Linked DNA regions of Elephas maximus indicus. The protein of the gene in region 1 interacts with the protein of each later gene in a biochemical or structural test. Links are inferred from orthologs where the notes say so. Each region holds a gene or a part of one and is shown on either strand. Other genes may lie near its edges.

Region 1 (12,019 bases):
AGGAAAGTGAGTCAGTACTTCATTCAAAGAAAGGAGATGGTGAAAGAAGTCACCATGTCTCTCTATAAGCTGGTGGCAACTCTGGCAGTATTTACCCTGAAGAAGGGATGACTTGGGGCCCATGGTGGCAGGAAGGGATTGTTTAGCTGGCGAGCTATCATGTGGTTATGAGGACAGTTGTCCTTAGAGCTGTGCACCACAGATCTTTACTTTTGGGCCCAAGGTAGGCTGCACTATCTGGCCCCCTTGTGGTGGCTCCATGGAGACATGCAACTAGTCTTGGTCATATAGGTGTGAGCCCAAATGATTTGTGTTACTTCTGGCCCACAGCATGTAAATGCCAGCATAAGACCCTCCAAAATGATCTTTCTTTTTGCCATTTATTGTTGTTGTTGTTAGTTGCCATTGAGTCAATTCTGACTCATGGTGACCTCACACGTGTAGAGTTAGAACTGCTCCATAGGGTTTTCAAGGCTGTGACCTTTTGGGAAGCAGGTCGCCAGGCCTGTCTTCCGAGGTGCCTCTGGGTGGACTTGAATCACCAGCCTTTTGGTTAGTAGCCAAGTGCCTAACCATTGGTACCACCCAGGGATTTCTTTGCTGTAATAGGCCTTCAGTGCAATGGGTTTCTCTTATATATGGTTTTCTCTTACATATGGCCTTTCTGGCCTTGTGTTTGTAATTCTGCCAGAATGATTGGCTAGGCCAAAATCTAGCAAGTGATTGGTCAGAATACTATGTAAATATGATGTGGAAAACCACATAATAGGATTAAGTGACCTTGTGGGAACTGGCCAATTAACATGTAAATTGAGCGACTGTCGTCTTCTGAGGGGATTGGTCAGTTCGTAGTCCTGGTGGGAGGGCATGCCTTGAAATTGACAAGGAGTTTGCTTACATAAAGGCCAACCCCACAAAGAATCAGGGGGGATCTCACTCCCATCAAGAAGAGCCTGGAGCAGGGCTCCTTTGGACCCAAGGTCCCTGCACTGAGAACCTCCCAGACCTAGGAGACAGAGAGAGTTGTAACACTGAAGACAGTGTGAGATGGCAAGAAATGGTGGTAACCACAGCAGAGGCCAGGACCAAAGAAACGGTGGCAGCAGTACCAGCAGTGAGAATCACGGGACTGGCAGATGGCTGCAGTGGTGCCTGTCAGCCCACAGAGTGAAGGTGCTGTGGTGGACTTGCCAGCCCACAGAACAAGAGAGAGCTGAGTGCCTTTAGGCAGGAGGCGTGCTTGCAGAGTGGGGTGACTCTGAGCATTTGCTGGCAGGGATAAAGAACTATTAACACTTGCTCGAGCAGGGCAGAGGCCTAGAGAGGGCCTGTAGGATGGTGTGGCTGAGAGAAGGACTATTAACTGGCATGGCCAGAGAAGGGCCTGCCTGTGGGCATGGCCAAGAAGGAGCTGAGAACTGTCCTGGTTGGAAGCTGTCCTGATTGACGAACTATATCCTGTCTCCTGAGTTGTATCCTGTTACTTCTAAACTGATCCTGATCCTGAGTCATAGCCTGTTACTTCCCTGATAAACCGCCTCATTTTGAGTATGGTCTGTGAGTTGTGTGTGGCCACTGCAATGAATTATCAAACCCAGCAAAGAATTAGAGAGTGCTGGGTGGGGAGATTGGCTGGTGTCAGAAATGGTGAAAATGTCTGACCTCTGCCTCATGGGAATCAGCTTTGGTCTGATCCTGATTCTCCTGAATGTAGACAGCCTCAGATGCTGCTAGATCACAAGGCCACTAAAAACTGGAATTGTTTGTTTTTCCAGTATAAGATAGCTTGTCCTGACTGATACAACAGATTTGCTCTGCTTTGCTGTAAATGGCAGAACTAAAGCTAATGGTTAGAAGTTTCAGGAAGACCAAAAAAAAAAAAAAAAAACCAAAACCAAACCCAGTGCCGTCGAGTCGATTCTGACTTATAGCGACCCTATAGGACAGAGTAGAACTGCCCCATAGAGCTTCCAAGGAGCACCTGGCGGATTTGAACTGCCAACCCTTTGGTTAGCAGCCGTAGCACTTAACCACTACGCCACCAGGGCCTCCTCAGGAAGACCAATTCTGTGTAATACAAGGAAAGAAAATCTAATAAAGCATAAAAAGATGGAACTACTTCAGAAATTATTCATTCATCCACACAATATATATGGAACTCTACTCTGTGCCAAGAGCTCTGTAGGTAAAACCCTTACCCTCATGGAGGCAAGTGGTGCGTTCCCAGTCACTCAGGACCAGGACGTGTGCACTGGATGGCCCCTCAGGGTTCGACAGCAAAACCAGCCTTTAAAATACCTCCCAACCTGGAGATTCCAGGAACTCTACCTCCTCTGTTTTAAAAACAAAAAAATAAAATCAATTTTCTCAAGTATTACTTTGATTCAAACTATTTACTGATTCACTGGGCTGTCTTTTTGACATTTTAATGTCATTTTCCCAGCAAATAAGTTCCTTGAGGGCCAATACTGTTTTGTTCCTCCTTGCATCTTTCTCATACTATATAGTAGGTTATATTTTGTCTGTTCTCAGAGGAAAACAACCAGTGTAGATTCTGACATCCCCACTGCCAATGAGTCAATTCCGACTCATAGTGACTCTAAAGGCCAGAAAAGAACAGCTCCATAGGATTTCCAAGGCTCTACGTCTTCAGGGAAACAGACTGCCACATCTTTCTCCCACGGAGTGGCTGGTGGGTTCGAACTTCTGAACTTTTGGTTAGCAGTGGAGTACTTTTACTATTGCGTCACTAGTGCTCCCTCTTTTGATATTGTTGCTGTCAAGTCAATTCTGACTCACAGCGACCCTGTAGGACAGAGTAGAACCACTGCTTAGGGTTTCCAAGGAGCAACTGGGGGATTCAAACCACCAACCTTTTGGTTAGCAGTCTGAGCTCTTAACTACTTGGCCACCAGGGCTACCTTTTGACGTTCACTACTGTTATTAACCACGTGACAGGTTTCAGATTTATTTGCCCTTCAATTATTTAAGTTAGATCTGAACTTGTTAAAAAAAAAAAAATTTAGAAGCACAAATGTCATACCCTAGTAACTTTCACACTGAATGCTCTTTTCTTCAGAAGGAAGGCTTAGCCCTGTACTAGTGAATTTGAGCTGAATTACATTATTTCATTACCCTCTTAATTCAGCAAGTATGTAATGAATTCCTACTACATGCCAGGGGTAAGGCACATACATTGTAAGAGTTTATCAAGATATATTATTTAATGTACTGTGGTCAGCATTACAAAATTCCATCTTATACTAAGCCTATGAACTCTCCGTACTAAGCTCTTTAGAAGAAAATAAAAGCAAGTTCAAAAGGTTTGGGGCAAAATGTTCCCTTGGTTCAACTCCTGGGTACATCTTGTACCTTAACTTATGTGGGCTCAGCTGATAACTTGGGGAAGTAGATGAATATATCAGTGTGTAAGAGACAAAAAAAAAAAAAACCCTTTTTTTTTTGTATTTCAGTATCTTTTAAGTTTCATTTCTGGCTTTTGGAATTGGAGAATCAGTTGTCTGTGACAAAAAAATTGCTAATAAGCAGTAATTAAGGACTGAGAATTTATTATTTCCATACCCAAACTGATGTCATTCTCAAATGGGAATATTGGTACTGGTTAGACAATTCAGCATTCTGGTAAATTAAGGCAGAAGGACTTGGTGACTCCTGGGATGTGTGAAGGCAGATAGTGGTCCAGGGAGGAAAATATGTGTTTTACTTCGCTTTGTCCATTGCAACATTCATACCCTTCTGCTTTACAGAAGTAGGAGTTGAGGTTGCCAATCATATCTTACAAAAGAGGGGGGCCAGTTGTCTAAAGAAACACACTCTAATTCATAAAACTTTTTATGTTTTTATGTCTTTGGAATTGTCTCTGCATAAAAAGATAATCAGCTGAAAAAGACAGATGAATTCCAGTGAATTCAATACCCATTGACAGAAAAGAACTGGCATATCAGAAAGCAGCAGGAATACATGCGCTGCTCTCCTTTATTTAGAAAAACCACACAAAAATACAACACAGTGGATGTGTGTGTTACCCAGGCTTGAAAGTTGAATCAACCGCTGTGTAAAAGATAAAATAAGACTGCACAGATATCAGGATTTTCCCAGCGTGCTTTATGACAGAAGAGGACCTAACAGAGCTTTTAGGAAAAACTGAATTCTCAGCCCACAGTCACTTTCCAGGAACTTCACTGCAAACAGTGCTCTGCGCTGGCAGGATGGAGATTTTAGCACTCTCCCTCCTGCTTCCCTAGATTCCTTCTCTCTAAATACAATTATTTATGGGGACTTAACAAGGGAGCAAGCCTTGTGTGAAAGGAACTCAAGAAAGTGCAGCTTCTAAAAATACATGGAGGCAGCTCCACAGTCCTTATTGTTTTGCAGTTCATGCCATGAACCTCACAACTGCACTTCTTGCCCCACACACACACACACACACACACGCACAAAGAGAAGGCTATGTTTTTTCTTTCCACAATCCTCCTAACCATGAGTAAACAGTAGTAATTTTCTGTTGTCATACTCAAGGCAAATTTCCCAAAGACAACACAAAACAAAAACAAAAGACCTGTTAAGCTTCCTTAGAGCTGGGGGGTGGAATGACAGGAAAGAAGGGGGTAAAGTTGATGGAGGTCCAGTTTCTTGTTAGCCAGGAGTCCTGAGCCTACAGTCACCCCAGATCTTGCAGAGAAGGTTTTTGAGGTTTCAGTCCCCATTTGCTAAGGTGTCCTTGCCCCTCTCCTCTCCCGAGTCCCCTGTCTATGACATCCTCTTTGCCCCTGCTTTTTGAGGGAAATTGAACCTCAGCTTAGGCGTCCCTTTCCAGTGGGTTGAAAAGAAGTACAGCGGCTGATGGAAGGATGAATATTGAAATAAATAGGCTGGGGCATGGCGTAGGGGTTTACAAAACACCCCTCTCCTCCATTCATCACGTGTTCCTCAGCTGGGGTGCAGTGCTACGGGTAAAGGGCCCGGGAGGGGCGAGAGTGGGGTGAAGGGACTCGGACATAGCAAGACTGTAAGGGAACGAGGCCCTCTAGGAAAGATCGTCTCGATCGAACACTGACGAGAGAAATAAATTGGCCCACATGTCCCTACTGGGGAGCGATACACCCCGCTCCGGATGGGTTTGGGGGTGCATCAAGGCCTCTCACCTGACTTCCTCCTCCGCTGGCACACACACTACAGTCACCCCCTCACTCCCCTCCAAAAAGCTCAAGCCAACAACGAACAACAAGAGGAAGCCGCAGGCGGCAGGAGGAGGGGTGCGAGCGGTGGGGGCCTGGAGAGGTGAGGGGGGCAGGGTTGGCGGGCCTGGAGACCCGCGCCGCGCACTCCCAAGCACACCCCCAAGCGCCCACACTTACCCCTCGTGGCCGAGGGTCCGGTCTTCGGCGCCAACCCCGCCGCGCGCCCCCTCGCCCGCCCTCGCCCCTCCAGCCCGCCGCCCCCCACACCCCGGCCGGCGCGCGGGGAGAGAGCCCAAGAGCGGCACACGGCTGCAGCGGCTCGGGCTCGGCTCGGCTCGGGCTCCAGCGCAGCCAGTGTGGCCGGCGGCCGCCGAGGCTCCACCGCCAGGGGGAGAAGCCGGGGCGGGCGCTGGGGAGGCGGGCCGGGCCCTCGCCGCCCCGCCGGCCAGCCCGCGCCGCACACGCTCCGAGGCGGCGGCGGAGGCGGCGGCGGCGGCGCGGGGTCCGCCGAGCCTCCGGGCGCAGCGTGCCGGGGCCGAGGCGCCGCGGCTGGATGCGCGCCCCGGGTGGCTGCGGGCTCCCGCGGGGGGCGCCCCGGCCGCTCCGGTGCGCTCCAGACTGCGGGCGCGGCGACCGCCGAGCGGAGAGCAGCTCCCGCCGGCCCCTTCCCCCTCCCGCCCCCGCCGCCGCCCCCTCCCCCTCCCGCGTTAACATCTCCTCCCTCCCCCTGCTCTTCCTTCCCTCGGCCCCGCGCGCTCGCTCGCTCGCTCCTCGCTTCTCTCTCCCCTTTAAACGCCCACTTCGGATGGGGAAAGAAGACAACTTGAAGTCAAGTTGCAATTAACTTCCGCGGCAGCCGCAGCTCCAGCGGCGGCGGCAGAAGGCAGAAGCCGCCGCCTCGGAAGTCCGACGCCGGCGCGCCCGCCCAGGGAGCCGTTCTGGGTCTCGGGCCCGCACTCGACAGCCACCGCCGTCCCCAACGCCCATGCCTGAGTGAGTTCTGCTCCTTTGCCTCCTTTCTCCCCCGCCCTCCTTCTTTTTTGCTCTTTCTCTTGCTCTTTTATCTCCCACTGTCTCTCTTTTTCGGAATCAATCCAAACTTCTCGGTGGCACCCACCCATGGTGCCCCTTGCTGGGGCGACTCGGCTCCCCTCTTGTGGGCGCCAGGCGGCAGGGGTCTTTCGCGCAGTCAGATCCCAAAGTGGTGGGCCAGTGGAGTGAGGGCGAGCCACCGGGATGGGGGACTTGAAGATACCATTCGTTCTCTCTTAGGGTGTGGACACACTAACACACCTGCCCGACAGACCCGGGCTGCACAAGCCCCTCCAGGACCTCGGTATGGCCTCTTTTGAAAGAGAAAAGTGAGTCGAAAAGACTGCAGGAAGTAAATGGGGAGAAAGGGGAGCCTCTCTGTGCGGCCCCCGGGCCCGGCAGGCAGAAAGGCGCGCGGCTGAGTGGGCTGGGGGAGTGGAAACGCTCCCCGGTCGGATCGCCGGTCGGCTCAGCATCCTTCCCCAGTCCATCTCCGCCTTCCTCCGCCCCCCATCGGCGTGGCTGCTCGAGTGCGGGGCGGAAAGGGGCCTGGGAAGTTTGTGGCAACTTCTCCATCCCGGGAGCCACTCCGGCACCGGGGCGCTCAAGTTTGAGCCGGGAGTTTGCAAGCCGCGGCACTGCGCCTTCGAGCCCTAGTCGGCTGTGGCGAGGTCGGTGCTGGAGGGACTGCCGGCAGGAATGTGGCTTCCAAGTGGGGCTGGAGGCAGGAAGGAGGTGCTTCCTCCTAGCGGGAGCTGGGGTACCTCAGGTACGGCCTCCGGGCCCGCACCGTGTCCCCCTCCTGCGGTCGGGGACCCAAGCGCGGCGGCCTTCTCCGAGCGCACCATTGCTGAAGTTCCCAGGGCGGCGGAGCGTGGGGGTTTGGAAGACTACCGTGGAAGGGACGAAACAGGCAGGTGGCAGGTCCGGGGAGTGACACGCGCGTCCCGGGGAAACGCATTCAGTAAGACACCTTGGGGATGACCCCAGGAAACTGAGAGGAGAAGGACGCAGGGCTCTTTCTCTTAGTTTTGGCTCCGGCCTCCCCCAGAGCGTTGCACATTTCACTTACAAGTGTCAACCCCAGGGTCGCCCTCAGAGTGCCCTGGTTGGCGACTTTGACCCCTGCGCCTTTCCTCCATGAACTTTCTCAGCGGCGTTCCAGACTTCCAGGCAAATGTGACTTGTACTCCATATGGTTGTGAAAGAGACAAGGGAATACCCAAAGATGCCCTATCCGGGAGAGAGTCTCTCTGCCTGGACTAATTGGGGTTCTGCGCCTGCATCCTGGGAGGCCAAGGGGACCTGACTTTCCCAAGAGGACAGAGAAAGGGGGTAAGAATGAGTAAAACACAGCCGCCCAGTGTCAGGTTTTGTCCTGAGCAGTCCCTGGAATTCACAATGTGTTTTGCTGCTGATGGAGTAACTCATCCCATTGAAACTTTATTGAAATTTACACCCTCGATAACGTGGATTTTTCTGAGATGTCAGGAATGTGGAATTCCTTCTGTACAGTCAAATGTAGCTGCACAAAACCAAAGCGTACTTTAAGACTGGAGAAAACCAAGGTTGAGGGGTTTGCTCTCAAAACCTTTAATCTGCTGTTTGGTGCTCGTGCAGCAGTCCTTTATTTCTATTGCATATTATTTTAGCAGAACGGTAGTACATTCATATACTGGCTGCTCCAGTCTGCTGGCAAACATTAGCATTCAAGCTTACATTTTTGACAAATGTGCAGACAGGAATAGCATGAATAGGCATCTTAAATATTAACAACCTAAGCATCTGTTGTGCAACAAATTTAATATATTTACTCTGTTTTTCTCACATTGTTAGAAAAGGTTATAATAAGTGCATAATTTCAACTTTAGTTAGCAGAAGTAACTGGCTGTATCTTTCACTACCTCTCCAAGTATTTAACACAATCACCAGACATAAATACTTTAATTAACTTGGTTAGGCATATTATTAAATACACTTTAGGCAGCGTGCATGCCACATAAAACAAAACACTGGCAAAATATGTGTCCTGTTTGTGCACATTTTAAACGGCTGTGCGTTTTATAAACATACCAAACATGTCTATTCCTCATCTCCATTTGACACTTTATTACTTCATATTTTTTCTAATGGAAACAGTATTTTAAATGTAGAGCTGTTCAGTCCTATGTAATACGTAATAAGTAAACAGTAGCTATAAAATACAAAGCATTGTTGAATTTGAATACGGCTAGATGTAACAAGATTATACAAGAGAAATAAAATCGCGGTTCAATTTTGTGTTCCTTTCTGAATAATGAATACAAATGGTGAATGAAAAGGAACAAATAGGGATTTCCTTCCTAAAGTACTGGTTCCTTAAAATGGAGTGGGTGGGGGGGGGGGGGGATAGAGAGAGAAGACCTAAAAAGACTTCCAAAAGTCTGAATAGTTATTTACAGAATCAATGCATTCCTCATTTTCCCACAAGCTGAAATATGTAATAAATAATAGTTCTTTGTATGTAAAAGTATTTAAAAGGAATGCCTTTTGTGCAGTTGTTTTAATAAATTAATATATTCTTTGGTTGATAAATCTACAAAAGTAGCTCTTTTGTCTCCCGGGATCTTAAACACGAGCAGCAACAAAATGAATATTGGTTTATTTCTTCTGCAAAGGAGTCTGTTGCCAGCTCTGTGAACCTGATTGGATAAGATATGAAAATGCTGAGTGATGGTTGAAGCCTGCATTAACTTAGCTAAGACTTAAAAGATCAGGAGAAGGTTTTCAATGATCTTTTTTTTCATGTGGCAGGTTGTGGATTGTAAATTAGGCCTAAAAGGTCAGGTGACAGGCACCTGTTCCCCATTATTGTAAAAATCTCTTGGTTACAAACACTATCAAGCTAAACACAACACGGATATACAGCAGGGACTCTGTAAAGCACTCTAGTGGTTTTTCATCTGCTCTGTAAATTTCCGAGGGCCACGCATAGATGTGCCCTTTACGTAAGACATCGTTTCTTCCACACATGTTGTCTTGGATGACTAATTTATGTTACATTAGTACTTGGGATTGATGAAGTACATAAAATAAATGCATATGACTGAATCAGTCTTCAGACTGTCTAGACATGTTGTAGTTAAATGCAAAATATTCTTTTCACACCCCACTCTTTTCCTGTACGATCGATTAGTTATCAATTTTTTTGTTCATGTTTTAAATAGAAGTCTCCCCAAATTGTCTTTCAGACTTTTTAGATAAGGTGGGTTCCCCTTTTAAATGATGCCATGAAATATTTTGCTCAGTATTTGTGTATAAGGAGAAAATTAGTTGCTATAAACCATCATAGCTTTGTAGCATATATAAAATGGGGGGGGGACACATTTTTCAAGAATGCTGTTAGGAAGGGTATCATCATTTGACCTTCAAACTTGCCGCTTCTCTCAGAAGAGTTCAGTAATATTCCTATTGGAATGAAGTGTGATGTGAGTTTTATGACTGGTTTACCGTGAGATATTTCAGAGAGCAGAACATACAAACATATTGAACAGACCTAAATAGCACAAGGTTGCAAAATATTAAAGGTTCTCTATGCTTTTAATTAGCAAATGAGGATTTTGAGTAAATGAAATAACTCAGATTATTGAATTCTATGTTATTTAAATCTGCTCTTTGTCTTTTTGGTTTGGTATAGCTTATGCTGATTATATTAAGTATTCATTTTTAGCTTTTGTGATCAGATTACAGGAGAGTCATTCCTCTTGCTTATCAAATTGATTTAGGTTGCGAACTCCAAAACTCTTGAGTTGATTTTTACAAATTGGTTTACATTTTGACAAGAGTTAAGTTAATTAGTAGATCAAGCATGAAAAACCATCCATGGTAGAGTATATTTTCTGGTAAAATGAAAGTTATGTTTCAGCATGATGAGCATCAGGCTTCAGTAATCTGTTCCTCTTGTGGAATGAACACTTCCTACTTCAAACTAGCAGGCACCTACTGTTTATTTACGCTGCATTAAACTGACAGCTCAGCAATCAGAGGAAAAATATTACTTACCTTCCTGAAGTAAATACCAGTTTATAGGTTAGTGCACGTATTTATATTCCTGTCACCACTAAATAACGGCTCTGTCTCCATTTTAATATCTACCTGTGCTGTAATCCAGGACTTCAGACTCTTCCTGGTTGGGGCTAGAGGTAGGGAGGAGTTTTTTTCATTTCCCAGTGGCAAAACTTTAAAGAGAAGTAATTTCATCTCATTTCTGTCATGTAAGAACCAGTTGAAAGAAATGGTACGCACTTTTACTTTGCATACCTCAACTATAACATCAATATCCAAAAAGAGTTTGCGTGCCCCTTCTAATAGTCATCCTGGAGCAACCTCAGGACAAATACCTTCAAACACATTCAAGTGTGTGTTTGCTAAATTAACTTTCTGTAACATTCCAAATCGATGACTGAAACGATGTCATTTCTTAGATAATAACTTTGAGAAAGTGTCTTCCCTTCCAAATCTTAGATAAAATGCTTCAGTTTTTGATGGAGATCTGCAAATATGAGTACAAAGTGGGGCTTATTGATTGCTTGATTGATACCGTTGCTTTCCCCTGAGAATATTCTTACCACTCTTACATGTTAATTTGCCAACCTTAAGAGAAAGGAGATTTCTGCTTTCTTATAATATTAAATGTATGTGTTGTTCTGTATTTTAATTACAAGACTGTTCTCTGGTAAGACCCCTTGAAACTTCAAAATATGTTTTAAGGTGAATTCTAAAACCCATAACTAACTTTTGAGAAAATGCTTGTTATCGCTTACATTCTCTAAGTAGCTCTTACGCTCATGGTCTACACACAGTTGTCAATTGCTAATCATATATTCCATTGACATCAGAGCAGAACGTGGTCTTAATACAGCATATAAATCAAATCTGTTGTACAAGGTTCTTCTCCTTCGCTACACCAAAGAAAAAGTGTCTCCTATGGTAATTTATATATCATTCCTAAGTGCTGTTCTCCATGGTAAGTCTCTTTAAACTTGATGTCTTCGTGGAGTGTGATCAACACATTAACACACATTATTTAGTACTTTTGAACTTATGCCAACTGTACCTTTTGCTGTTTATTTTTTTAAAGTCTTTTTTAAGATCAGATATTTCATTTCAGAGTAAATAGATACAGATTGTGTGTATATGTATTCAGGGCGAGATTTAGTAGTTGTAGCGTTTCTCCAGCATATTGGCCTATTTTTATTCGTTCAAGTTATCCTGTATCGCTTCCACAGTTGTTGCTGTCAGAAGGTTTGTGATAGAAATTCTAATCACCTCTTTCAATGGACTTTCAAGAATGTCATTCAGTTTATGCAGTGATCTAGTTTAGTTTACGAGAGATGAAAATTAGTTGACTGATACCCCAGCACTTACGTCCCTAGTTTCTGCTGAAATTTATTCAGTCCAGTTATTTAACTTTTGGTAGAGGAGTATCTTGCAGTCAGAATTAAGAATTGCTCAGGTTTCCAGTGGAGGAAAAGAGATGGCTGGATAAAACGTTTAACTGTGCAGTATTTTAGTATGCAATATTTTGTTATTCATTTTAGAGCCGCTTGTTATTGCACGCATTTTTGAGGACCTTTTAGGGGTGCAGGTCCCCCAAATGAGGCTGAAATGCTTGCAGAAGAACCCAGTTCTCAGGCTGCACCTGGCTGTGCCTTTACTAGACTGTCTGTGGCCCTGCTCAGGTCCCCCTCCTCCACCGCCCTTCCCCCCAGGTGTGCAGGAAGTAGAGGGTGTTGTACTGGGTGAAG
Region 2 (12,387 bases), on another chromosome or scaffold:
TGTATCCAGTGAATTTGATAAATTTATTTAATTCTAATAACTAGTTTTTCTGAGAATTCTTTTAGATTTTCTCCATACAAAATCATGTTCCCAGTGAATGATGGCTTTATTTCTTTCTTTCCAGTCCTGATAATACTGGCTAAGATTTTTCTTCTAATACTGGCTAAGATTTCAGCCCATTATAAACAGGGATGAGAATAGTGGGCATCCTTACTTCGTTCCTGTTATCAAAGGAAATGTTTTCAATATTTTACCATTAACTCTAGTGTTTTCTGTAGTTACTTATAATCATATTAAAGAAGTTCCCGTCTACTAATAGCTTCCTAAGAGTTAAAAAGGGAACTTTTAGATTAAAAAAGGGAATGTTTTTAATATTATACCTTTAACACTAATGTTTTCTGTAGCATTTTTTTCGTAGATACTTACAATCATATTAAAGAAGTTCCCTACTATCAATAGTTTTCTAAAATTTAATATCATGAACAGGTGCTACATTTTTGTTAAGTCCTTTTTCTGCGTTTGTCAACATGATCATATGATTTTTCTCTGTTAATGTGATGAAATTAAATTGATTAGTTTTCATATGTTAAGCAACCTTTTATGCTCTGGGAATAAATTCCTCTCAGTCATGTTGCATTATGCTTTTGTATATTGCTGGATTGAATTTGCTAATATTTTGCTTGAGATCTTTGTGTAACCACCACAACAATCAAGATATTCCTCTGTACTATCACAAGACTTCCTCCTGTTACTTTTACAACCACACCCATCCCTTCCCCCATTCCTAATGCCTGTTGTTCTTGTTGATAGGTGCTTGGAGTTGGTTCCAACTCATAGCAACCCTGCATACAACAGACGAAATACTGCCCAGTCCTGTACCATTCTTACAATTGTTGCTATGTTTGAGCCCATTGTTGTAGCCACCGTGTCAATTCATCTCTTTAACCGTCTTCTCTTTTGCTGACCTTCTACTTTACCAGGCATGATGTCCTTCTCCAGGGATTGGTCCCTCTGATAATATGTCCAAAGTGTGTGGGATGAAGTCTTGCCACCCACCCTTCTAAGGAGCATTCTGGCTGTACTTCTTCCAAGACAGCTTTGTTTTTTCTTCTGGCAGTCCATGGTATACTCAATATTCTTTGCCCTAATCCCTGGCAACCACTAATCCATTCTCCAACTCCATAATTATTTCGTTTCATGAATGTTGCATAAATGGAATCAGGCATTATGTATCCTTTTTTTCTCTCAGCATAATTTTTTTGTGGTTTATCCAATTTGTGTGTATCAATAGTTTGTTCTTTTTTATTGCTGAGTCAGCCCGAGTCTCCCAGAACTGGGTCAGAGCTCACAAGTTAGATGGACACTGTCTTTCAGCCATAACCACTCAAAGCTAGGTCGGAGCTCACACATTAGAAGGACACCTTCTTTCAGACTGTCAAATAGACAGACGCCAGCCCCTGCTGGCTCTCACTGCCCCTGTGGGTTCATTAATTTGCTGGAATTACTCACAGAATTCATGGACAGTACACCATACTTATGACTACAGGTTTATTATAAACAAAAAGCACAAATGAAGAAATACATGGGTAAGGTTTGGGAGAGTCCCAAAGAGAGATGTACTACCTTCTCCCATGCATGGTCACCAACCACGTAGCTCTATCTTAGCCTCAAGGCTTAGGGCTCTTATTAGCCTCACCACATGGCCATGATAGATTACATCAGGACTCCTGAAACTTAGTACTGAGCTACTGAGCCCCAGGTGGTCTCTCTTGAGCTGGTCAGCCCCCACTCATTAGCCTCAGGTGTCGTTCCAGCTGGAAAGAACTGAGAACTAAGGCCAAACTGCTTTTTGTAAGTAGGGTGATTCTACATCTCAAAATTTGCTACAAACATTTGTGTAGAAACTTCCTGTAGGAAGATAAGTATTCATTTCTCTGGAATAAATATCCAATGGTTCAACTGCTGAGTTTAGTTTTCTAAGGAACTACCAATTTTCCAGAGTGGCTATACAATGTCTATACATTTCCTCCAACAGGGTCTGTTTAATCCATATCTAAAAGGCTATGCCTAACCCAAGGTCAAAGAGATTTACTCCTATATTTTCTTCTAAGAGTTTTATAGTTTTATCTCTTATGTTTTTGAATGATCTTCAGATAAATTTTGCTTGCGTGTGATATTAATGATATTGTTCTATAATTTCCACATTCGGTTGGATCACCTTTCTTGGGAATAGGCATAAATATGGATCTCTTCCAGTCAGGTGGCCAGGAAGCTGTCTTCCATATTTCTTTGCATAGAAGAGTGAGCACCTCCAGTGCTGCATCTGTTTGTCAAAACATCTCAATCGATATTCCATCAATTCCTGGAGCCTTCAAAAACAGCTGCAGCAGTATACTGAGAGAGAACTGCCAGAAATTCAGGCCAGTTTCAGAAGAGGATGTGGAACCAGGGATATCATTGCTAATGTCAGATGCGTCCTGGCTGTAAGCAGAGAATACCAGAAGGATGTTTACCTGTGTTTTATTGACTATGCAAAGGCATTCGACTGTGTGGATCATAACAAATTATGGATAACATTGCCAAGGATGGGAATTCCAGAACACTTAATTGTGCTTATGAGGAATCTTTACATAGATCAAGAGGCAGTTGTTTGGACAGAACAAGGGGATTCTGATTGGTTTAAAGTCAGGAAAGGTGTGCGTCAGGGTTATATTCTTTCACCATACCTATTCAATCTGTATGCTCAGCAAATAATCCGAGAAGCTGGACTATATGAAGAAGAACGGGGCATCAGGATTGGAGGAAGACTCATTAACAACCTGTGTTGTGCAGATGACACAACCTTGCTTGTTGAAGGTGAAGAGGACTTGAAGCACTTACTAACGAAGATCCAAGACCACAGCCTTCAGTATGGATTGCACCTCAACATAAAGAAAACAAAAATCCTCACAACTGGACCAAAGAGCAACATCGCGATAAACGGAGAAAAAATCGAAGTTGTCAGGGATTTCATTTTACTTGGATCCACAATCAACAGCCATAGAAGCAGCAGTCAAGAAATCAGAAGACGTGTTGCATTGGGTAAATCTGCTGCAAAGGACCTCTTTAAAGTGTTGAAGAGCAAAGATGTCACCTTGAAGACTAAGGTGTGCCTGACCCAAGCCATGGTATTTTCAATCGCATCATATGCATATGAAAGCTGGACAATGAATAAGGAAGACTGAAGAAGAATTGAGGACTTTGAATTGTGGTGTTGGGGAAGAATATTGAATATACCATGGACTGCCAAAAGAAACACCAAATTTGTCTTAGAAGTAGAACCAGAATGTTCCTTAGAAGCAAGGAGAGCAAGACTGCGTCTTACATACTTTGGACATGTTGTCAGGAGGGTTCAGTCCCTGGAGAAGGACATCATGCTTGGCAGAGTACAGGTTCAGCGGAAAAGAGGAAGACCCTCTACAAGGTGGATTGACACAGTAGCTGCAACAATGAGCTCAAGCATAACGATGGTAAGGATGGCTCAGGACCAGGCAGTGTTTCGTTCTGTTGTGCATAGGGTCGCTATGAGTCGGAACCAACTTGACAACACCTAAAAACAACAACAACAACAACATCTCTTATGTTTAAGTCTATGATCCATTCTGAGTTAATTTTTGTGTGTGGTATGGGGACCCCAATACTTTTAGTGGCCCTGGGCTATTAAAGTCACATTGTGGCCCTATAAATTGAGAGGGTTTTGCAGCAGCCTAGGCACGAGACTATAAGAGTAGAAACTCAAGAGGAGGCTGATGGGAATGAAGATGCAGGAAAAGGACTGGCTTGGTATATGTTTTGGAGGAAGAGTCAGAGAGCCTGGCTGACGGATTGGGTGTGGGAGGTGAATGAAAGTGCTGTTTCAGGATGACATCTAGATTTTTGGCTTGAACAACTAGGTGGGTAGTGGTGCCATCCACTGAGAATACCACCAGAAAATCAGGATTGCGAGTGGAAATCAAGAGCGGTCTTTGACCATAATGAGTTGAGATGACAAGAAGACATGAAGTAGAGATATTAAGTAGCCAGCTGGATTTGTGAACCTGGGTTTTGGTGGAGCGGACTGGGCTGGAGAGAAATTTGAAAGTTATCAACATATAGGTTTAAAGTCAAGGAATTGGATGAGATCTTCTGGTGAAAGTATAATAGAGAAGTGGGCCAGGAACTGAGCCCTGGAGCACTCCAACATTTAAAGGTTGAGCATTACAGGAGAAATCAGCAAAAGGTACTGAAAAGGAGGTCTGTGGAGGGGACAGGAGAATCAGAACAGTGTCATGTTGAGAGAAGTCCAGAGGGAAAAGTGTTTCAAGATAAAGGAAGTGAGTCAACTCTTTGCAATTCTGATGAAAGGTCAATTTAGATAAAAATGGAAATTGGCTATTGGTTTTGGGAAGATAGAGATCATTAGTAATCTTGATAAATGATCATGATGAGGAATGCCAAAGCCAGATCTGGGTAGGTAGAAAAGAAAAAGTGAGGTGAGGAAGTGGGAGTAGGCCAGGGCTTTGAACCGGTTCATTCCAGTTCTATTCCCTGCCAAAAATTTGCCTTTATATCCCCAGAGATAATGAATCAGAATCTACATTTTAAGAGAGCCTATAAAAAAAATTTTTTTTTAATTTTTTATTAAAATGTAAATGTATACATAGAAATCACCTGGGGGATCTTGTTAAAATGTAGATTCTGATTCAGTACATCTGGGGTGGAAATTCAAATTCTCCACAGAGGATTGGACTGGTACAAACTGTTTGAAGCTGTGGAATAGGCACAGTAGAGAGATCTGGGAAAACTCCTCTGGGAATTTATGCAGTGAATAGAGCAGAGCAATAGGGTGGTTGCTGGAGGCAATTTTTGAGTCAAGGGAGGCTTACCTTAAAAAAAAAAAATTTTTTTTTTTGGCAGAAATTTCAGTATGTTGATATGCTGATAGACGTAATCCAATAGAAAGGGAAAAAAGTCATGATGCAGAAACCAAAAAAATCAAACCCATTGCCTTCCAGTTGATTCCCACTCCTAGCAACCCTGTAGCACAGAGTAGAACTGCCCCATAGGGTTTCCAAGGAGCAGCTGGTGAATTTGAACTGCGACCTTTTTGTTAGCAGCTGAATGCTTAACCACTAAGCCATCAGGGCTCCAAAAATGCAGAAGGGGGAGGTAATTGTAGGAGTAAAATCCTTAGGAATGTGGAGCGGAAAGGAATCCAGGTTACTGGCTAAGGACTGAGCTTCAGAGGTTCAGGGACAATTCATTCATAATGATTCAAATATTACTAGTATGCAGGTAAGAGTAGTTTTGATGGTGAAAAGATATCTTTTTTTTTTTTTTTTGCATGAGGTATGAGACAAAGTCGATCAGCAAAAAGTGGCAGATGGGGAAGAAGTATAGGAGTTTTTAGTAGAGAAAGGTATAGAATAATCCTTTCGTCAAGTCTCTACTTAAATGTCACCTCAGTAGAGAAAGCCCTGTCAAGATTAAATACAACTCCTTCCAATCCCTTTTTCTCTCTAGCTAAACCATCTGCTGCTTTCCAGCACTCACCACAATCTGTAATTCCATCTCTATTGGTTCACTTGTCTGTTCCCCCATTAGTCAGAGAGCTACAGGAGGGCAGGGACTTTGTTTTGTTTAATTTCCCAAAGTATATGTAACGTTTAACACAGGGCCAGTACACAGTCACTAAATAAAAGCTTGTTGAAACCAAGAAGTTAAGTGAGGAACACCTTCAGAGTTTTGTTTAGGGCATTTCTGTCAAGTACCTGTTGGGGCAAGCCACTTTTCCTCTCTGAGCTTCCATTTCTGAATATTTACCATGGAAATGATAATCTCTTCCCTTGCCTACTGTACCGCATTGTCATGAGGAGGATTTGAGCTAATAAACCTGGAAATGCTTCATCGAGTGCTGCTCAAATGTAACGGATTGTTATTTTTAGCCCACATGGAGCTTTATTTTTTTTTGGAGCTTCGGAGGCAGCAGGTGCTCAAAAAGACTTTCTGATTGGGACAGGGGGGCATTGCTGTTCCGTGGCTGTAGGTATGGAAGCTTTGCAGAGGGTTCCGCGGACCGCAGAGGGGCGGGGCTCAGGCCAGCAGCCCGCTCTCCCGGGCCTTTCCCCGGAGGCGCTAACCAGGCGACGATGGGGGGCGGGGAGGCCGACGGGGGAGTAACTGTCAAACCTCCCCGCTTGGCGCCATTATTTAAATAGTACGTGCCTGTCTGGCAGCTGTACGTGCCGGGGGCGGGGCTCCGAGCGCCCGGAGCGGGGCGGATTCCGGGGGCGGGCCGGGAAGGTGGAGGGGCGAGGGGGGGCGGGCCGGGGCGGGGCCAGGCCGCCTAGAGGGGAGGGTCTAGGAGCGGCCCCCGGCGAGGTTCACTGCGCTTGCGCTGACAGACGCAAGATGGCGGACGGTGCGGAACTAAAGGTAAAGCGCAGCTCGAATTCACTTCTAATATTCGGCCGCGGAGACGGCGCCGCTGGTGCCGGGGGGGATGGGTCCGACCCTGGGGGGCCGCTCCGGCCTGACTCCACCCGGGCCTGGAGTTGTAGGGAAGAGCGGCGCGCCGGGCCCCGGCAGAGGGGGCTCAGTAGCGGCGGGCCGCGGGCCCCGGGTGCCTCGGGGGCGCTGACGGGTTGTCCCCGGCGTGTTATTGTTGTGGGCGCCTCTGGCGGGGGTGGCGGGGGAAGAGATCGGGAGTCGGGAGGCAGGGACTGCGGCTGCCTCTGGGGCTCCGCGCCCTCACCTCCTGCCTGCCTCCCCGCCCCCCATGGGGAGCTGTGGCTGGGGGCTGGGTGTCCGTGTAGGGGGGATTGGGAAAGCTCCCCGCCGCCGCTTCCTCTTCCTCCTTTGCAGTCCCGGGCTCCTGTCAGGCGCTCTCCTCAGACCCCCGGGAACTTGGCTCCGGCCGCCCCGCCCCTCCGTGGCTCTCTGCCACCCCCACCCTGGACTCGGCTCTCTCCGGCTGCCCGCCTGTCAGGAGGCGCCCGGGCGCCCCGCTTGGGGGACGCGCGATCCTGGGGTGATGGGGTGGGAATGTGGGGGAGAAGCTCCGGTAAAGTTTAGTGAGCCCCGGGCCGGCGTTGGGGTTCGGCCGTGGGGCAGCGGCGGGAGTCTGGCTGGGCGGGACGTTACTCTTTCTCTCTGATTCCGGGCAACCGGCGGGAGAAACCCCCTCGAAGGGTGTGTGTTTGGATGCAGTGTTGGGTGGTGGGATGCAGCTACCTCTTCTCCCTTCTTTTCCTTCTCTGGCTGGTGTGGAGGGTGAACGGAGCCTTTGGGGGTCTCTGCACACACCATGATGGCGATGCTATAGCTGCCGGAGGTGAATGGTTCGTGTTTATATCCCCCCGTTGCCTTTTGTTTGTAGGGACATCTTGTTGGCCATGTTGATTTGAACGAAATTCTGCCCTCATCCTCCAGCAACCCCCAATAAATAGAACGTTCCTCCGTTCCTCTCAACTGTACCAATTACTCACGGCTCGCGAAATGAGATGAAAGGGTGCCCCCCTCTCCCCGCTTTTTTCTCCCACCCCAATCTTCTTTACCTGACGATGGCTTCTTTACCGAAGCAGATACACCACTACACAAGCAGTTGGGGGAGGGGGTGGAACCCTTATGATTGGATTGTGACAAATGGGGCTCCGCTTGAATAATTTTGGTTTAGTAGCAAGCCGTTTTTAACTAACGCGTATTATTTTGAAGCTCTGAACGTTATATTCCCATCTCTGTGGCTTCCTGTGTGTGAACCAAGCAGCCGATTATATCCTGACCCAGAGAACTGACATCTCTGTCAGAGTGGAGCTTGGGATAAACAATTGTAATTCTTTGCGGGGAGAGTCTCTTTTTAATTAATAAAAATTATTCAAAAAAAATTCTCCGTTATAATGACACGAGAACTTCTAGAACATCCAGATACCAGGTTTCTTTCTGGAGAGTTTTTTGTGGAAAAAACCTCCCTGGAAGATCGTTTTTCTCCAGTAACTTTGCAATGTTAACATTGCAAGATTTGTAAGGTGTTGGCTTTAGTGTCACTCTTTTAATTTGCTTCTAATTCCAATTTACTTCAGGAAGAGCAGATTTAGAACGGTTGGTTTCGTTTTCCCCAGCTTCAAACTGTTGACTGAAGTGAGGAAACCTTGGAATTGGGATGCTTGGAGATATTTAAAGAGAGTAAAAGTACACAACTTTAAGATACGTGTTTTCTATGGTTTTACTCTCTAAAAATGCGGTCAATATGTTGCTGTGATCTTTGCCTTCTGATATTCATTTTGTTAGGAATCCTTTTAGATGAAAGCTAATGAGTTCTGTTATACACGGACCACAGAGTAAAGCCGAAAAGCTTGTTCTGGCTATATTGTCACTCTTGATGCTGTCCAAAGAAACTGGTATGGGAAGCACATGCTGGGAGATTTCTCCTTTGTTCTTTCTCATTTTAAGAAAGTGCCTTTGGGGATAGATCAGATCCCTGGCGTGAGTTTTGTTAAAGTTTCTCTTTACAAAAAACAGCCAGTATCAGAGCTGAACACTTGGGGGAAACGTTATTTTTCTAGTATTGGTCTCCTTTTTTGCCTCTCTCCAAAATGTACTTCAGTTTTTCTGGAGGAGTTATTTTTTACTTTCATGTTCCTGTTGTATAAATTTTCAAATTATAATAACTGTTTTGACATACTGGTCTGTCATTGTGTGCCCCATACTTTGAAGAGCTGTGATAAATTGCTTAGCTGGTGATAACAGTGTTACCGTTTTTGTTAAAACTTGATTGTGGTTAGATTTGCTGGTTTTGTTTTGTTTTTCCCTGGAGGTGGGGCATAATCTCAGGAACACCTATGTTAGGGTTGTTTGAGAATGTCTGTATGTTTCTGTGCGGTGAGTTTTGGAAGATACTTGTTTTAGAAATTTTCTGAGGGTTTTCGTTTGTGGTTTTTGGAGGTAAGTAACTGTTGTAATAAAGTAGGAAAAGTAAGAATAATTTTTTAAAAATGAGATTTTTCAAAGTTTTAAGTGAAAATACAGCACTCCCAATAAATTTCCAACTATGAGGCTTTGAGTTAATATAGTGACTTTTTCTGTATTAGTTCACAACCCACATTTCATTTGGCTGTGGATTGTATTCGTAATTATTCTCCTCATGTCCCATTTTTAGTGAGTCCTTTCAAATCTATAATAAAACTCTAAAGATCAGATGGCCAAAATCGATAGATCCATATCCCTTGTAGGAATAGTTCAAGCTTTAGCACTTCAAGATATTGCCAATAAAAATTAGATTGTGAGTCATACATATCAAAATGAGTTCTCTGTGCACAGTTATGGAAGGTTGAATTTTTCATTAGAGGATACCCATAAGTGACATTCTTAAGAATGTAGAGGGTGAGCATTTTATTATCTTTAGGAACTTAAAAGTAGAAGGATGAAATGGCCTGATGATCTTGGTATTAATAATCTGACAGTTAAGTGTAGCTCTTCTTAAAGTGTGCTTTTTTTTTTAATAGTATTTTTTTGCATTAAAATGCAAAAACAATTATATTGTCATTGTAACAGTGGGAAAGAAGTAGTTGAGTGGGAAGAGAAACCACTTTTTAAAGTATTGGTAAGAGTATCAGTAAATCCTGTTGAATTCTGCCTGTTTTATTTTCAAGAAGTAGCCACTTAATTTTGACCTTCGTGGTGTAGTTTGTCAGCCTTTGTCTCAGATAGAAGCAAATAAATCTGAGAATTCATGGATTTGATTTGAACCTCTGTAACTTGCTGCTGTCAAGTGCCACATTTAGATGACTTTTGTTTTATGTCACCGGTGTTAAGAACATTATTTGAAAACAATTTTTAAAATTCTTTAGTTTTTAAGTATTTCATATAATTGTTTTGAAATACTGCCATCTTTTCTACCCCCATTTTCTCCTTGGTGGTTGTATTGTCTTTTTCTTCCAAGAGTGACTCGTAATCCCTGTTGATTGCAGTAGTGCTTAGTGGTTAGTCCATAGCTGATTAAACTTGGATTCCATCAACCTGCTGCTCCAGGGTTCTTGCTGAGACTTTTGAGTCCAGTGTAATTGTACTTTTTCTTGCTGGTAACTAGGGATAAGAAAATAAAATAGCTTGTATTTGTAGTGGGAACTGGGAAGAAGTATCTAAGTCCTGAGAAAACTAGATGCTTATGATGAGATATAGCCTTCAAAAACAAAGAGAACCTAGTCCGTTACTTCATATAGTACTTTGCAGTTTGTATGAATTATCTCATGTGATCTCTCCAGCAGTTCTTTGAGGTAGGCAAGGCAGATGATACCTCCCTTTTATGTATAAAGTGAGCCCTGAAGAGGTTAGTGACAAGCGCAAAGTCATACAAATAAAAGTGGTAGAGACTTGAACCTAGGTGTTCTGATTTCAAAACCTTGGGGTGCAGGCTGCTTTAAAGGTGCCATGGCAGTCCTGGAACCCTCTAAGCAGGGCTTCGAACATGCTGGTGAGGATTTGGATTTCCACTCCCAGATATACTGAATCAGGTTCTACAGTTTAACAAGCCCCCAGGTGATTCTTCTCCCCCCTTAAAAAAGCAGCTATGTACATAAGAATCACCTGGGGATCTTGTTAAAAATGTAGATGTACCATAAGAATCACCTGGAGAATGTGGATTCTGATTGAGTATATCTGGGATGGAAAGGCAAATTCTCAGCAGGGGGTCAACCTGGAACAAACCAGTTCGAAGCCCTGCCTCTACAGGGTGCCTTGTTCATGAAGAATTCCAGTTATGTTGTTGCTAATACTTTCCCTTTTGCTTTATGTCAGGGTATGTTTGGATATTCCTTGGGTTTTTTGCAAGGAAGATTTTGGAGTTTGTTAGTTGAAATCATAGGCATTACTTCTTGCAGATGTTGTTTTGCGTGGGAAAATTTCAGAGAATACTGAAAAGTAAGCAGAAAAATAAGCAACACCTGTAATCCCAGCACCCAGAAGTATCATCTGGGTATATATCCATTTAGTCATTTTCTCTGTGAGTGTATGGTTATTCATCACAAAAGGAGATCACACTCTACACTTTTTGTAATCTGCTATTTTCATAGCTATCTTCGCAGGTCAGTAAGTATAGGTCTGTGTTATCATTTTAAAGATTACATTGTATTTTATTCAACTAGTCCCTGTCCATTTTAAACAGTGCCTTGACAAACATCCTTATGTAAAAGTTTGCAGATGTTTTATTTTAATTAAATAAATTGATATGACAGACCTTCTTCTTGCTTTAGGGATCAGTGCAAATGATATGTTGATTAGATGAAGTGCTGTGAGTGAATTAAGTTAGTTCTTGCTTTGTTCATTGTTTATACCTTTATTATTTGTTTCTATAAATGTGTCGTATAGGATTATTAAATGATGGCAGAGATAGATTTTATAAAATGTAAGCAAATATTACTTCTGAATTAGAACATTTGATGGAGTATGAAATGGATTATGAAATAGCATGTATAACTTATTTCAAGTATGTTTGATTTTGGAAATTATAATCATTAAATATTGCAAGTTTATGTGCCATATTTAGATGTTCATCAGTTTTTAAATGACATTAAAAAGCTATAAAGTGGAAAAAACCTGTTGCTGTCAAGTCAATTCCGACTCATAGTGACCCTGTAGGACAGAGTAGAGCTGCCCCATAGGGCTCCCAAGGAGTGGCTGGTGGATTCGAGCTGCCGACCTTTGGGTTAGCAGCCGAGTTCTTAACCACTGTGCCACCAGGGCTCCTAAAAAGCTACACTGAGAAAGTAGAAATGAGAATTTGCTTTATGCTTTATGCATTTAGCCTCAGCAAAGTGTTGCTGTAGTATTAAATTTGTAGGTAACATTTTTTGGAGAAGCTGATTGTAGAGAAGGTTACATAGGCAATAAAAATACCTTTCTGTTTTAAGAAGTAAATTTATGCGTTAAACTAATTAATACATATGTGTATTAAGTTAAGGATACCAAATGTTGGTGTAACACCTGAAAAGTACTGTACTGTAGAAGGAACTATTGATGAAATTAAGGATATGAAATTGATCGTACTCTAAATTTGATTTGTTAGAATTTGGTCCTTACCTAATTATGTAACGTATTTTATTAAGATTTTTGAAATAGGGAATGGAGAAATTTCAAGGTATTCAACTGTCCTTCACCATCAATTTCAAAAGTAGTACTAACTGCCATTTACTTTTTGCTACTCTTACAGCTAGGTATTTACTTCTTCCATATGAAAAATGTGGACCCATTGCTTTTGATTTCCTCAACTCTTGGTTTCAGTGGTGTCACATGTAAAGATAATTCCTAGAACCCTCCTCCCCTCAGAATTTTCTGGTAAGCCTTAATTTTTTTGCCGTGAAAGTCTACAGTTCTTCA

What was found.
Region 2: the proteins of SATB1 (region 1) and PIAS1 form a complex in vitro, tested with the Homo sapiens proteins (2 studies listed by BioGRID, with this or other methods). The link is inferred for Elephas maximus indicus from reciprocal best matches to the Homo sapiens genes SATB1 and PIAS1.

What each region holds. Positions count from the first base shown.
Region 1 is NC_064845.1:21,471,174-21,483,192, forward strand, and holds the start of SATB1 (DNA-binding protein SATB1), read left to right. Parts: upstream 1-5,973; 5' UTR 5,974-6,194; intron 6,195-6,203; exon of another isoform or gene 6,204-6,473; 5' UTR 6,474-6,562; intron 6,563-11,320; exon of another isoform or gene 11,321-12,019. UniProt on the Homo sapiens protein: Crucial silencing factor contributing to the initiation of X inactivation mediated by Xist RNA that occurs during embryogenesis and in lymphoma.
Region 2 is NC_064831.1:58,148,889-58,161,275, forward strand, and holds the start of PIAS1 (E3 SUMO-protein ligase PIAS1), read left to right. Parts: upstream 1-6,384; 5' UTR 6,385-6,429; coding exon 6,430-6,453; intron 6,454-12,110; exon of another isoform or gene 12,111-12,345; intron 12,346-12,387. UniProt on the Homo sapiens protein: Functions as an E3-type small ubiquitin-like modifier (SUMO) ligase, stabilizing the interaction between UBE2I and the substrate, and as a SUMO-tethering factor. Catalyzes sumoylation of various proteins, such as CEBPB, MRE11, MTA1, PTK2 and PML.